Neodiprion lecontei: one gene and its partner. The protein of the gene in region 1 interacts with the protein of each later gene in a pairwise test. Links are inferred from orthologs where the notes say so. Each region holds a gene or a part of one and is shown in the gene's direction. Other genes may lie near its edges.

What was found.
Region 2: the proteins of ribosomal protein S6 kinase delta-1 (region 1) and proteasome subunit alpha type-5 interact in a two-hybrid assay, tested with the Drosophila melanogaster proteins (2 studies listed by BioGRID). The link is inferred for Neodiprion lecontei from reciprocal best matches to the Drosophila melanogaster genes CG7156 and Prosalpha5.

What each region holds. Positions count from the first base shown.
Region 1 is NC_060266.1:1,255,459-1,261,690, reverse strand, and holds ribosomal protein S6 kinase delta-1, read left to right. Parts: upstream 1-2,025; 5' UTR 2,026-2,269; coding exon 2,270-2,431; intron 2,432-2,503; coding exon 2,504-3,550; intron 3,551-3,644; coding exon 3,645-3,778; intron 3,779-3,841; coding exon 3,842-4,907; intron 4,908-4,967; coding exon 4,968-5,063; intron 5,064-5,170; coding exon 5,171-5,278; 3' UTR 5,279-5,419; downstream 5,420-6,232. Other genes in the region: rho GTPase-activating protein 21, read right to left, coding at 66-152, 252-420, 692-890, 952-1,656; protein SEC13 homolog, read left to right, coding at 5,727-5,968, 6,060-6,232.
Region 2 is NC_060260.1:35,498,792-35,503,636, reverse strand, and holds the start of proteasome subunit alpha type-5, read left to right. Parts: upstream 1-1,845; 5' UTR 1,846-1,989; intron 1,990-4,504; 5' UTR 4,505-4,691; coding exon 4,692-4,778; intron 4,779-4,845. UniProt on the Drosophila melanogaster protein: The proteasome is a multicatalytic proteinase complex which is characterized by its ability to cleave peptides with Arg, Phe, Tyr, Leu, and Glu adjacent to the leaving group at neutral or slightly basic pH.

The sequences.
Region 1 (6,232 bases):
GTATTTTGAAACACGAGAAATCTTTGCATGTAATATCAAAACCATACACTCTAACCATTACATACTTTGGATCATTACATATTATGGATGCAAACATAGTGTTTTCTGGCCGAGGATAACCGCCGTCAGGCAATGTCTGAAGTACTTGACGCCTGCAAGTCAATATAAACGCAATAAATACCCCCAGAACGTTGATAAAGAAAATAATAAAACACGATTGCAAAAAAGCCTATTTAAACTCGATTGCTTACTTTTTCTTTGCACTCAACGGTGCCGCAGACTCAGCCACTTTGCGCTTCTTCCCTGTTTTGATCGAAGGTGTGTCGGTAGCGCTGAACTCACTCGACACAACTCCGCTACTTGCTGCTGCGTCTGGTGATCCGCTCTTGCTAACCATTTTCTTCAACCCATTCAACATTCCTTTGGATTTAAAGAAAAACTATTATGCACTATTTATCGTCGAATAGATTTGAAACTGAATAATGATCATGATCACACTGGTAGAACAAAAATTGTTAGAAAAAATGAATAGGAAGAGTTAGCCATGATCTCATACAAATACATTATTTATAGACAACCCCATTAAATTTCGACAACAAATAAGGCTGGGATCTTGAACTAGTCATAATCTTAAATAAGTTGATTGCCGCAAACAAGTATAGAGAAAATAAAGTCAGATGGATAGACGTACTCAGGTTGAGATTGGAGGCGCTTAGATGTGGCTTACGTGTAAGACTCCCGCTCCGTCGTTTTTTTTTCTTGTATTTGGATGGGTTTAGAGAGTCAGAGGTATTTATTTCAGTTTCAACACTGCCCGGAGTCTCGGAGGCAATGAGATCTGCTACGTGATCAGGAAGGACCCCGATGCGCTCAGCATTTTCGATCAATATCTAAGAAGCCGAGGTAACAGAATAAGTATCAACTCTTAGACTGCGCAAATTAGATTCTCACCTTTACTATAACAAGGTGGGTTTCCAGTCTCGACTGTACGGCCGACATGGTAGTTTCCTGAAGCGGCATAATACTGGGCCCCATGACTTTGGCTAGATTATCAATGCCCATTTTGTTCTGCCTCTCAAGCCTGGCGATTCGCTTCAAGAACTCGGCAAGGTAGGCGAGCGTGTTAAGGTGATGTGGAGGAAGGATCAGACACGCTATGAGCAGAGCCTGAACCCTGGAATTTTTTAGAAGCGCACAACGCAGAAAGACATCCTGGTAAATGCGCGGGATCAGGGGGTCAGGGAGGTCCCTGAAGAAGGTTTTTAGCACATTGGCAACGTCGACGACCTGGTACTTCTCACCCAGGGTGCTCCCACCGTCGAGACGGGCGATAATCTCCTTTTGTCGGAGGTGGGATCCCGCCTTTCGGAATATTCCCTCCTGGCTGGCGTATTTCTCAATGTAGGAACAGGCTTGGGTGACAAACTGGGGAACGTGGACGATCGCCCCTGAGGATAGCTTCACGACATCGAGTGGCAGGTGGGCCAAACTCGTCTTGAATACCGTCTTCAGCGACTGACCGCCTCCCGAGTCCGGCTTCGCTGAAGAAGACGCCGCCGCCTGTTTCTTGATCCGGCGTTTAACCCCCAAATTCCGAAGATCGTTTGACAGTATCTGGTAAACCTTCTCCTTGTCCAACACGTCGTAAACAAACATATTTACCGTCTGGGCGAGGATCGGATAGCGCCAGATCCTCCAAACGGGTGTTCTTTATTCATAAAACTCAACTTCAATTTGACAATATAAAGTATAACAACTTGTTTGTAACAACGCGATTTGAATTATCGAAGTTTATTGTTGCCGGTTACGTATACGCATGTATATGATGTTTATCATTGTTTTCCAACCGCCTTGCCTCATGGTCGCTATGCAGTTCGTTGCGGAACGCAAAAAACTCGTTGCGTTCTGTAGAGGGGATAAATCTACTGATCGCTGCTGCGGGTGCGTTCCGAAACTAACCCTAGTGCTGTGAACCATCTTTTATTTCTTTTGCGTTGCCGAGTTCATGGGTAAACACTCAGTGGATAATTCCTGCGACCAGATGGCGTGCGGGTAATTTAGAGAGTTTCTGTTCAAAATTCTATAGAGTATGCATATGTATATGCATATACACGTGGGAAATACCACCAAACCACCACACTTAATCGATACATTTTTGACACCTTCGTTCATAACAGAAAAAGACTTGGACTCGCGTAATTTAAGACTGGTTTAGTGTTGGGTTAACACAGAGAGAAAAGCACGAGCCGTGCTCGAATGAAATGTTCGCATGAACAAAGAAGCCCTGGTCAATAATTGGGTGCTATACGATTCAAAGTCTAATAACAGTAAATGGCACCATCTAAGGAAAAATGGGTACGAAGGTTCCTTATCAATGAGACTTCGCGTCACAGGAAAGGATTTACCGTGTACAAAGTTACATCAGTGGTCGGTACATATACTATTATTAATTTTAAGTCTACTCGAACAACAGTCTCTCCTTTAGCTGCTCGTCTACTTTCAGATATATCCTAAATCAGCCCCAGAGGCTGTGTCCAGAGTTTCGGTTTGGAAGCGATACAGCGACTTTAGGAAGTTGTACCTGGAGCTGAGCAGCCGTCATGACACTTTGAGGATCAAAGAGGCCTTCCCACCTTTCCCAAAGCCCAAGTTCTTTGGCCGTTTTGAGGCGGAAGTTATTGAGGAGCGACGACAATGTGCAATCAGACTTCTGGAGTTTGTAGCAAGGCACACTCCACTTTTTACAAGCAATGTAGTTGTCAAGTTCTTCGAGTCTGGACATGCCAGAGACTATCTAACCGACTGCTCGGCATCCATCGGCTCCGATACCTCTGAAGAGGACCCAAACTTGAACTCCGCTCTCAGAGGCACCAGCTACGTTCCAACCACTGTGCAGAATACTCAGTTTCCGACTTCAAATGGCAGAACGATCATACTAGCCAACAATGATATTGAGACGAGTGATAATGTTTCCCAGAGCTTATCTGTGAACAATAACTGCATTGACGAAATTGGCGTGGTCAGTGAGAATGGCGTCAACATAAGTGGGACAAAGCCAATCAATAATAAGAATGACGAAGAAAAACTTGAGAGGCAATCGCCAACCTGTGACAGGTATGATGCCCCTAAATTCACAGCTTCGCTTCAAGCTTCGAATGGCTTTTCAGTCCATGATGGATCTGACTTACCTGAGGGTGCCGCTGAAGACTTGAGCAGTTATATTCTAGTATCAGCTACCCACATGAGCGCAGCTTTCAGACACGAGGCTGTGTGTGAATACGAGGAAGCATTCACGCTGTATAAATTGGGCATAGCAAACCTACTCAATGGTGTTCAATCTGACCCTGATTACGGGCGCAGAGCCACGATCAGAGACAAGATATCCAAGTATTTGGAGAAGGCAGAGAGGCTTTACAACAGGCATCTGAACTGCAACGTAGGCATGCTTTCCAAGCCTACTAGTGAATTGGGAAATTATAAAGTATTACGTGTTATAGGCTCGGTCATGCTGGTCAGAGACACTTTGCGTGATTGCAATAGAGTTATAAAGGTAAAGCTCTCTGTGTTATTCGTCATTTTGAAAAATAAATAAGAACTAGCTTTGATCTGGGCAGCGATGTTTCAATTAGTAATTCTCTTTCCAGACAGTCCAAAAGCCAGCTGGGTGCCTTGGGAGTCTCCGCGATTACATTCTGCGTGGCAAAATCCCATTCATGGTACGGCTTTACGCATGCATAGAAACGGATTCGACGATATTTCTTGTCCTGCACTATGCGAGGTGAGTGGAAACTGGATATGACTTTGCTGATTTTGATGATGCGACTCAGCTCTTACATTTCAGTGGAGGAAAGCTCTGGGAGTATATCAAGTCGTACTACAAGGGCCGCAACACAGTCTCTAATTGGAGAGAGAAAGGGCATACAAGGTCAGTGAGTTGCGACGCTATTATTCAGTCGAGTCTGGAAAAGAAGAAGCTAGGAGTTAAGGAAAGACTGTTACCGAAAATTGACGGACTTGCTGAGGTTTCGAAAGACAGAGCTTGTGGCAGCAGAGAAAATCTCGATCCGCAAGAAGAGGAGACGATCGATCCTGATGAATCGCTCAGAAGATTAGAGGCAAAATTTGGAGCCAATGCTGCGCCTGTTAAAACATTTCAAACCACGGACTTACTCGCTAAAGCCCAAGAACTTCTGCGATTGGTTGACGCCACTCTGAAGAAAAGCAATTCAATAGCCAGCAGGTTGAATGAATCTGGCACTTTACTGTACAGTGAAGATAAGCCGGATCATTCTCGAAATTTAGCTCACGGTGGGGAGTTTCAGGCCCTAAATGTAACAGAAATCGATAAACTCAGTCAAGGTAACAGCATAGATGGTGTTCACGGTATTGGATCTGGAAATATAGATCTGAAAGCAAAAAATGAAAGATCAGACGAAGCTTTGGCAAATTCTAAGTCTAATTTTGTTAAGAACTTCAAAGTTGAGGACGAGTTAGTGAAAGAATCGTCAAAACTCAATGGCTCTCATAGAGTGATTGAGGAAACTATGAATTCTGGCCAATTGCAATCGATCGTTAACGAGGACAGCGGTATTGAAATGGATGACGAACTCTGGAAGCTTCCCGAAGGAACCATCCGATATTGGGCAGCTGAAATACTCCTGGCACTGGAATCTCTGCACCAGCAGGGTGTCATAGTCGGAAATTTAAAACCAGATAATATATTATTAGGCAGCGGAGGCCATGTCGCGATGACTTACATTGTCCCAAAACGAAGCTTCGAACTCTTGCAGCTAAAGAAGCCCTACTCCGCCCCTGAACTTTGTATCTTCTCACCAACAATTCCACCCTCCACTGCTGCCGATGTTTGGAGCTACGGAGTCCTGCTCTACGAGCTCTTCACTGGAATTGTATGTCCAATTATCATAGTTTAAATTGATATTCGTTGAGTTTATGTTTTCTGTTTTCAGAAATTCCAAACTAAACATCCTGGACCATATCACTCGCATTCTATTCTCAACATTCCTGAAGAACTATCAGCGAACGTGAAATCATTGATCTCTAATGTGAGTTTGAAGAGTTTAAATACTTAATTAGTTCTCAAAATAAATGAAGCAGTGCATTCAAGTCAATGAATTCCTTTGTATATGATTGTCTTACTCTCCTTGTTCAGGTATTGCGATACAAGCCAGAGGAACGTTTATCTATTCCCGAAATCAAAGAGTCTTCATTCTTCTCTGGTATTGATTGGACCGCCTGGGCTAACTCTAGTTTTACTTAGTCGTAATATACCTATTTTTTTCCTTCTACAGTACGCCATATCATGTATTTGTCAATCTCCAGTCAGTGTATAACTAGTTCAAAAATAACGAACAAAATAATATTTATCACAATCGACATAATTAAAAGTATATAATATGTATTCTACTTCAAATTTTGAACCATCCCGCCGATAGATAAAATAACATAACAAATGGAAAGGCACGTGGGGCACGTGTTGTCTTTTTACGAAAAATCCCTAGCACTTCGTGGTGACTCTGATGCTTTTCGTTGCCTGATGTTGGTGCCTTTTAGCGCGTGTCCACTTCATCAGATTCCACGTATGTCAGTTGGATCAGTTGTGTGGTTATTCTTCAATCGCTGCAACGGACAATTTGCGACAACAAAAAATAGTGAAAGAAACAATATAAATAATAACTCGTTGCGGGTAAACGAAGAGATAATTGAAAATGGTCTCCGTTCTAAACACGGTGGACACGGGCCACGAGGACATGATACACGATGCCGAAATGGACTATTACGGATTGAGGTTAGCTACCTGCTCAAGTGACAATTCGGTGAAAATATTCGATCTGAAGAACGGCACGCAAACCCTCGCTGCAGATTTGAAAGGCCACGTCGGTCCTGTTTGGCAAGTTGCCTGGGCTCATCCGAAGTTCGGCAACATCTTGGCATCTTGCAGTTACGACAGGTAAATTTGGTGATCTCAATACTTTTGCTCCACGGTTTTCCGACCTTATGCAAAAATAAGCAAAATCTAAACTGTACTTATCTCGCGTTAGGAAAGTCATAATTTGGAAGGAGCTTGGTGAGTGGACCAAGATATATGAACATGCGTCCCACGACTCGTCTGTGAACTCCGTTGCATGGGCGCCGCACGAGTTCGGACTAATATTAGCATGCGGCAGCTCTGACGGCTCGATCTCCATACTTTCTAACAATGGTGACACCTGGG
Region 2 (4,845 bases), on another chromosome or scaffold:
TCCAAGATTACGGGAGAATCGATTTACCGGTTATATACACGATTCGGGATGCAGCGGCCGCTGCTACCGTCGCGAAAATATACCTTATCGCGTTGTATTTAAAAAAGCTACGCAAATCGACGCGGTTCTCCTTTAGCCATATTATACATGTACCCACTTAATTCGCGGAGACAAATTTCATCCTAAGATTTTATTCCAGCATCGAAAACTTCGTCTGTAATTCTTAAGAGGTAAGAATGAGGCGGAGTTGAAATTCCGAATTTAATAAGTTTTGAAAGTGACAAATTTCGAATTTTTTGGTGGAGACGGTTGAAGCAAAGAGATCAAACTTTGACGAAACGTTAAGGTTTCGAAAGTGCGAAAATGAGAAAATTTTAAAACCTGCAACATCGAGATTCTGAATGATCGAAGATTTTCGGTTCTATGAATTTCTGGCTTGGTGAAATTTCACCACTTTGATCTTTCTTTGTTTTGGATTTTCGATATTTTTACGTTTGGAATCCTGGTAATTCTGATTTTTTACACCGACTCGTAGAGTAAACTGCGCTGCGTGAGTATATTTCAACTTTCGGAATCTTACTCTATCTCAACGTTGTTTTCGGAATTTTGCTCTGTCGGAACTTTACTTTTCGAAAATTTGTTGTATCGTAAGAGTTTGATTTCTGTATTTAAAGTTTCGCCACAAATTAATTCGAAACTAGGCGCTTTCGGAACTTTCAAAATTCGGACCTCCAATCGCGCTCCGTAAAAATACTATCTTGCACTTTTAAAAATGTGCAAGCGTCGTAAAATATAATCTGAGATTTCTGTAAACGCAATGCTTTTGTCGTAATATAAAAAAATATTTTCACCTCGAAACGGAAGAATTATTTGGTTTCACGGCGGAGCGAGCACTCCTTTCCTGTATCGTTCAAAGGGAACGGACGTTAAGCCCTTGCCCGAACAGTCGTTGGGTATTTCATAAACGAGTTCGAAGGATTCTGATTCGTACGTAGGTAGGTACACACAATGAGATTCGACCAAGCGGTGGTCCCTCGCGATTTTTGTGTACCGGTCCCTCGGACGGGTTGTTCGAGAGTTGTACGAGAATCGCGAACACCGCTCGAAGCCTAACCATTAGCTATAAATACGTACTAAATATTCCCATAAATCAGACCAATAGTCACATTACATGCCGGGGTCCTTGCCTTAAGAATATAACCAGCTTGGCTTCTACAACTCACTGCCGAAATTTTCTTTTTTACCATATTATATACACGGATGCGGGGATTCGGTGCGGCTGAACATTTTTTAATTTGTTTTTTTTTTTATCTCCTTTTTTCATTTCCTCGTACAAAGTCTTGCAAATATATGTCGGAGTAAAAGCTGTACCTGCTTCTTTGACGTTACACCGTATTATCTTAGAGTTATCCGTTGTGAGTTGATTTATTATGCGCAGGGCTACATACGGAATTGGGTGTTACGGGATAAACACCAAACGGCTAGGTGGTCTAGTGGAGTAAGGCTCCGGTAAAGCATCGCTAGATACCAGGTTCGATTCCTGGCTCCGTCGTTAATTTTTCGAATTTACCAGTTTTTCAAATTTATATCTTCAACAATGAAAAGGCCTCGTGATTAATGTTAAATATTGATAATGCATATCCGCATTTCAATTATTAGACGGTCATTGACTGTCTTACGGGCTTCGCATCAGAAGCGTAAGATTCCAAAATGTAAACACACTTACAGACATTCTTACAGTTGTGCTCAAGAGGAAGAACACTTTCTATTCATAAACACCAAACGTAGTCGCAATCACGGGATTAAGGGAAACTTGTTGATAAACAAGAGGGGTACCGATTACGGGAGCGGAGAGAAACGGCAGTCGGAGCCGAGCCTCCGGACAAATCGGTCTTGATCCCGGATATTGTGAATTCGTTGATTCCGCGATAATATGGACGGCGTCACGAACGATGGGACGAACGAGTCTCCATTGACTCCGACATACAGGTATGTGTACACACATGTATGTATATATATATATATATATATTGGACCGAGATATTGTGTTATTTAGTTATAACCAGTCGCTGCAATGCGGATCTTTATTCATCGTTTCAAAATTGTACGATCTTCTTGAGTCACTTTAAAGTTGAACGTAAATCACCCGAAAGCCGCGATACATGTTTACTTGAACCGCAAACTCAATTAACGAGTGTTTTCAAATAAAATAATTTGGAGCATTAATTACTGCTCTGTAATATACGATGTTAATTTAAATTCGCAGTCAAGTGTTGAAAGAATTGGAGTAAAATATGTTCACGTAATCTTTTTGGTTATACACGATTTAACGTAAACACAGATAGAGAGATGAATCACTCCAAAGAAATATCAGTTCCACTACATGATAATCTGAATATCGCAGCTCGTACCTAACGTAAAACATTCGTCGCGTTCTGATCGTATCTGCAGGTTTATTCGTCGTTAAACTCCAGTCAGAGACGTCCTTCGTTCGTCTTAATAACGTTTAAGCCACCGGAATTGCGGTCGTTTGTGTTTATCAGATTTAATAATAAGATTCAGCCTAACGAGCGAGCCATTAATTTCGGCAAAAGTATTCTCTTATCCGCAATTCTTCCTTCGACAACAAGAAAATAAATTATGAAAACGGTGAAAAAAAAAAACAAAAAAAAATGCGACCGCAGCGATTAAAAACCGGGTAATTGAAAATGCAAACCCGACGGAATGAAGAAGACTCCAGTTTGAGAAATGAAAAATACCCGCGAGTGACGTCGCGCGAAAACCTGCGTCATCGGAGAAGAAGTTGAAATGAAAAAAAAAGTGTACAAAAAAATATTTTGACAAGTATGAAAAATAAAAATCCAGGCCTTAGTAAAAACTGGGAATGTGCAGCGTTTCCCGTGTCAGCTCTCACGGTACGAGTCACTGATTCATAAATGACCCATGTGAAACACTGAGCGCCGATAGTCATCAGCTTGTTAAGTTCCGCTGTATTTTCCGTCTGAAACGCGACAGCGCATCCGAGCAATGCGATGTTGCAAGAAAAGGAGACAGGGAGTTGGAAAAAAAAAATTCGAAAAAAAAGCAAAAAACGAAATGACAATAAGTATGATAATAATTTTTAGTAACTCGCGAGAGATCGCGCAGTGTCTGCGTTCAGGCATAAAATAAAGACGCGGGTCGCACAGGTCCGACATTTCGGCGTGCGATCTCCTCCTCCAGGCTAAGCGAGTCGCTTTATGTAAGGCAGATTTAGATAGCGGGAGAAAATCAGGGAATCTGCTCCTACAAATTTTCAGCTCAGACGCGAAGAGGCCCTCAGGTTTTCGCACGAGGGTCACGCGCTGAGTTAACTCCAAAATTTACGACCTTTTCAGGAAAGTGCTGCTTTGTCCAACGGTCTCGTTTCGCGTACTTCGCTCTGCATGCATCCGCGATTTAACGCGTTATATACCCGAAGCCAAGTACGCGAGGAAGCGGGGAAATTCTGATTTTGAGCAGCGAGAATCGTTTCACATTCTTTTTTTTGTAGGATTCTGATTAGCAGCTGAATCTCAGCGTGTCGAGTGCTAACGATTATTTAATTCATGAAAAACGTTGTTTTTTTTTCTTGTATCGATGCGCAAAATATTCCACTGTCTTTAAGTTATTGTAAATTCTTAAAAATTTTATACCAAAGTTCAATATAATATGGAGTTAAATTTGCAACTCAAATTGTTGATGATGTAGCGCATTTTGTGGAAGTTTTACTTGAATTTCCTTGATATTTATCGGTGTGGATTTAAAAAAAAAAGTAGAAATCAGAAGTTTGTCAAATTACCGATGTCATTTTTGAACAGGTCTTGAAAAGCTTAAAAAAATTCGATGTACCTAGTATTTTTTTTGCCCACCCTCAATGTTCAGTGATAAGGTTATTGATATCGAGCAATAGGTGTAAAAATCTACTAAAATCGATTCTATTCTCCGTATCTTTCAGCTCCTCAATTTTGACCGTGCGTATGAGTTTATAATTGAGAGATATAAAATCGAGTATATCAGAGGCTAATCAGTGCCGACGTGTATAATAACGGTGATTATTCATATGCATATATATATGTATACGTATAGTTTTCAGAAATATCTTTCATCACTTCTTGCTCTGCTCCTATATTTCGCAACAAAGTCGCGGTAATAAATAAATTTAACAAAAAAAGAAGAAGAAAACATCTGGTCCAGGTACGTGAAACGTTTTATCGTACAACAGCCTCTCACATATTGACTAATATCAAACGACGGTACGGTGCGAAGTGAATTTGAGTTTGGGTACCGGTATATCATATCCGTGTAGGTACATAGATTGGATTATAGTAGGTGAAGCTGCTGTCCGAGTCGTGGGCGGAACTCAATCATTTCTCGAGTCTCCAGCATTTCGAGCGAAAGATAGTTTCGGGTCCCAGGTATAGCGCAGAGGTGTTACTAATTGTACTGATAAAACCTTCACGCCTACCTACGATATTGTCCGCAGGTCCTCAACCCGTGATCCCGAGAAAACCGGCGGCGCCGTGGCGTCGAGACGCCGTTCAAGCTGAGAATCGCTGAGGCCATTCTGGGGCACGGACACTCGGAGAAGAGAGAGAGAGAAGGACGCCGTGAGAGCGAAAGATCGTTTGAAGCCGGTCGAGGCGTCCGACTGAGAAGAGGCTGTGGAAAGGATGGAAAGTCAACCCGGCCTCAGGCTCGCGGGGAAAACTTGGACAATTGGCGCATGCGGCCAAAATACTTCGGTACCAGTTCTCTGCGTGAGTATTCAAGAAAGTATACTGAGAAAAAATTTCATTTGTTACGTATATACTAGAAAAATTGAGT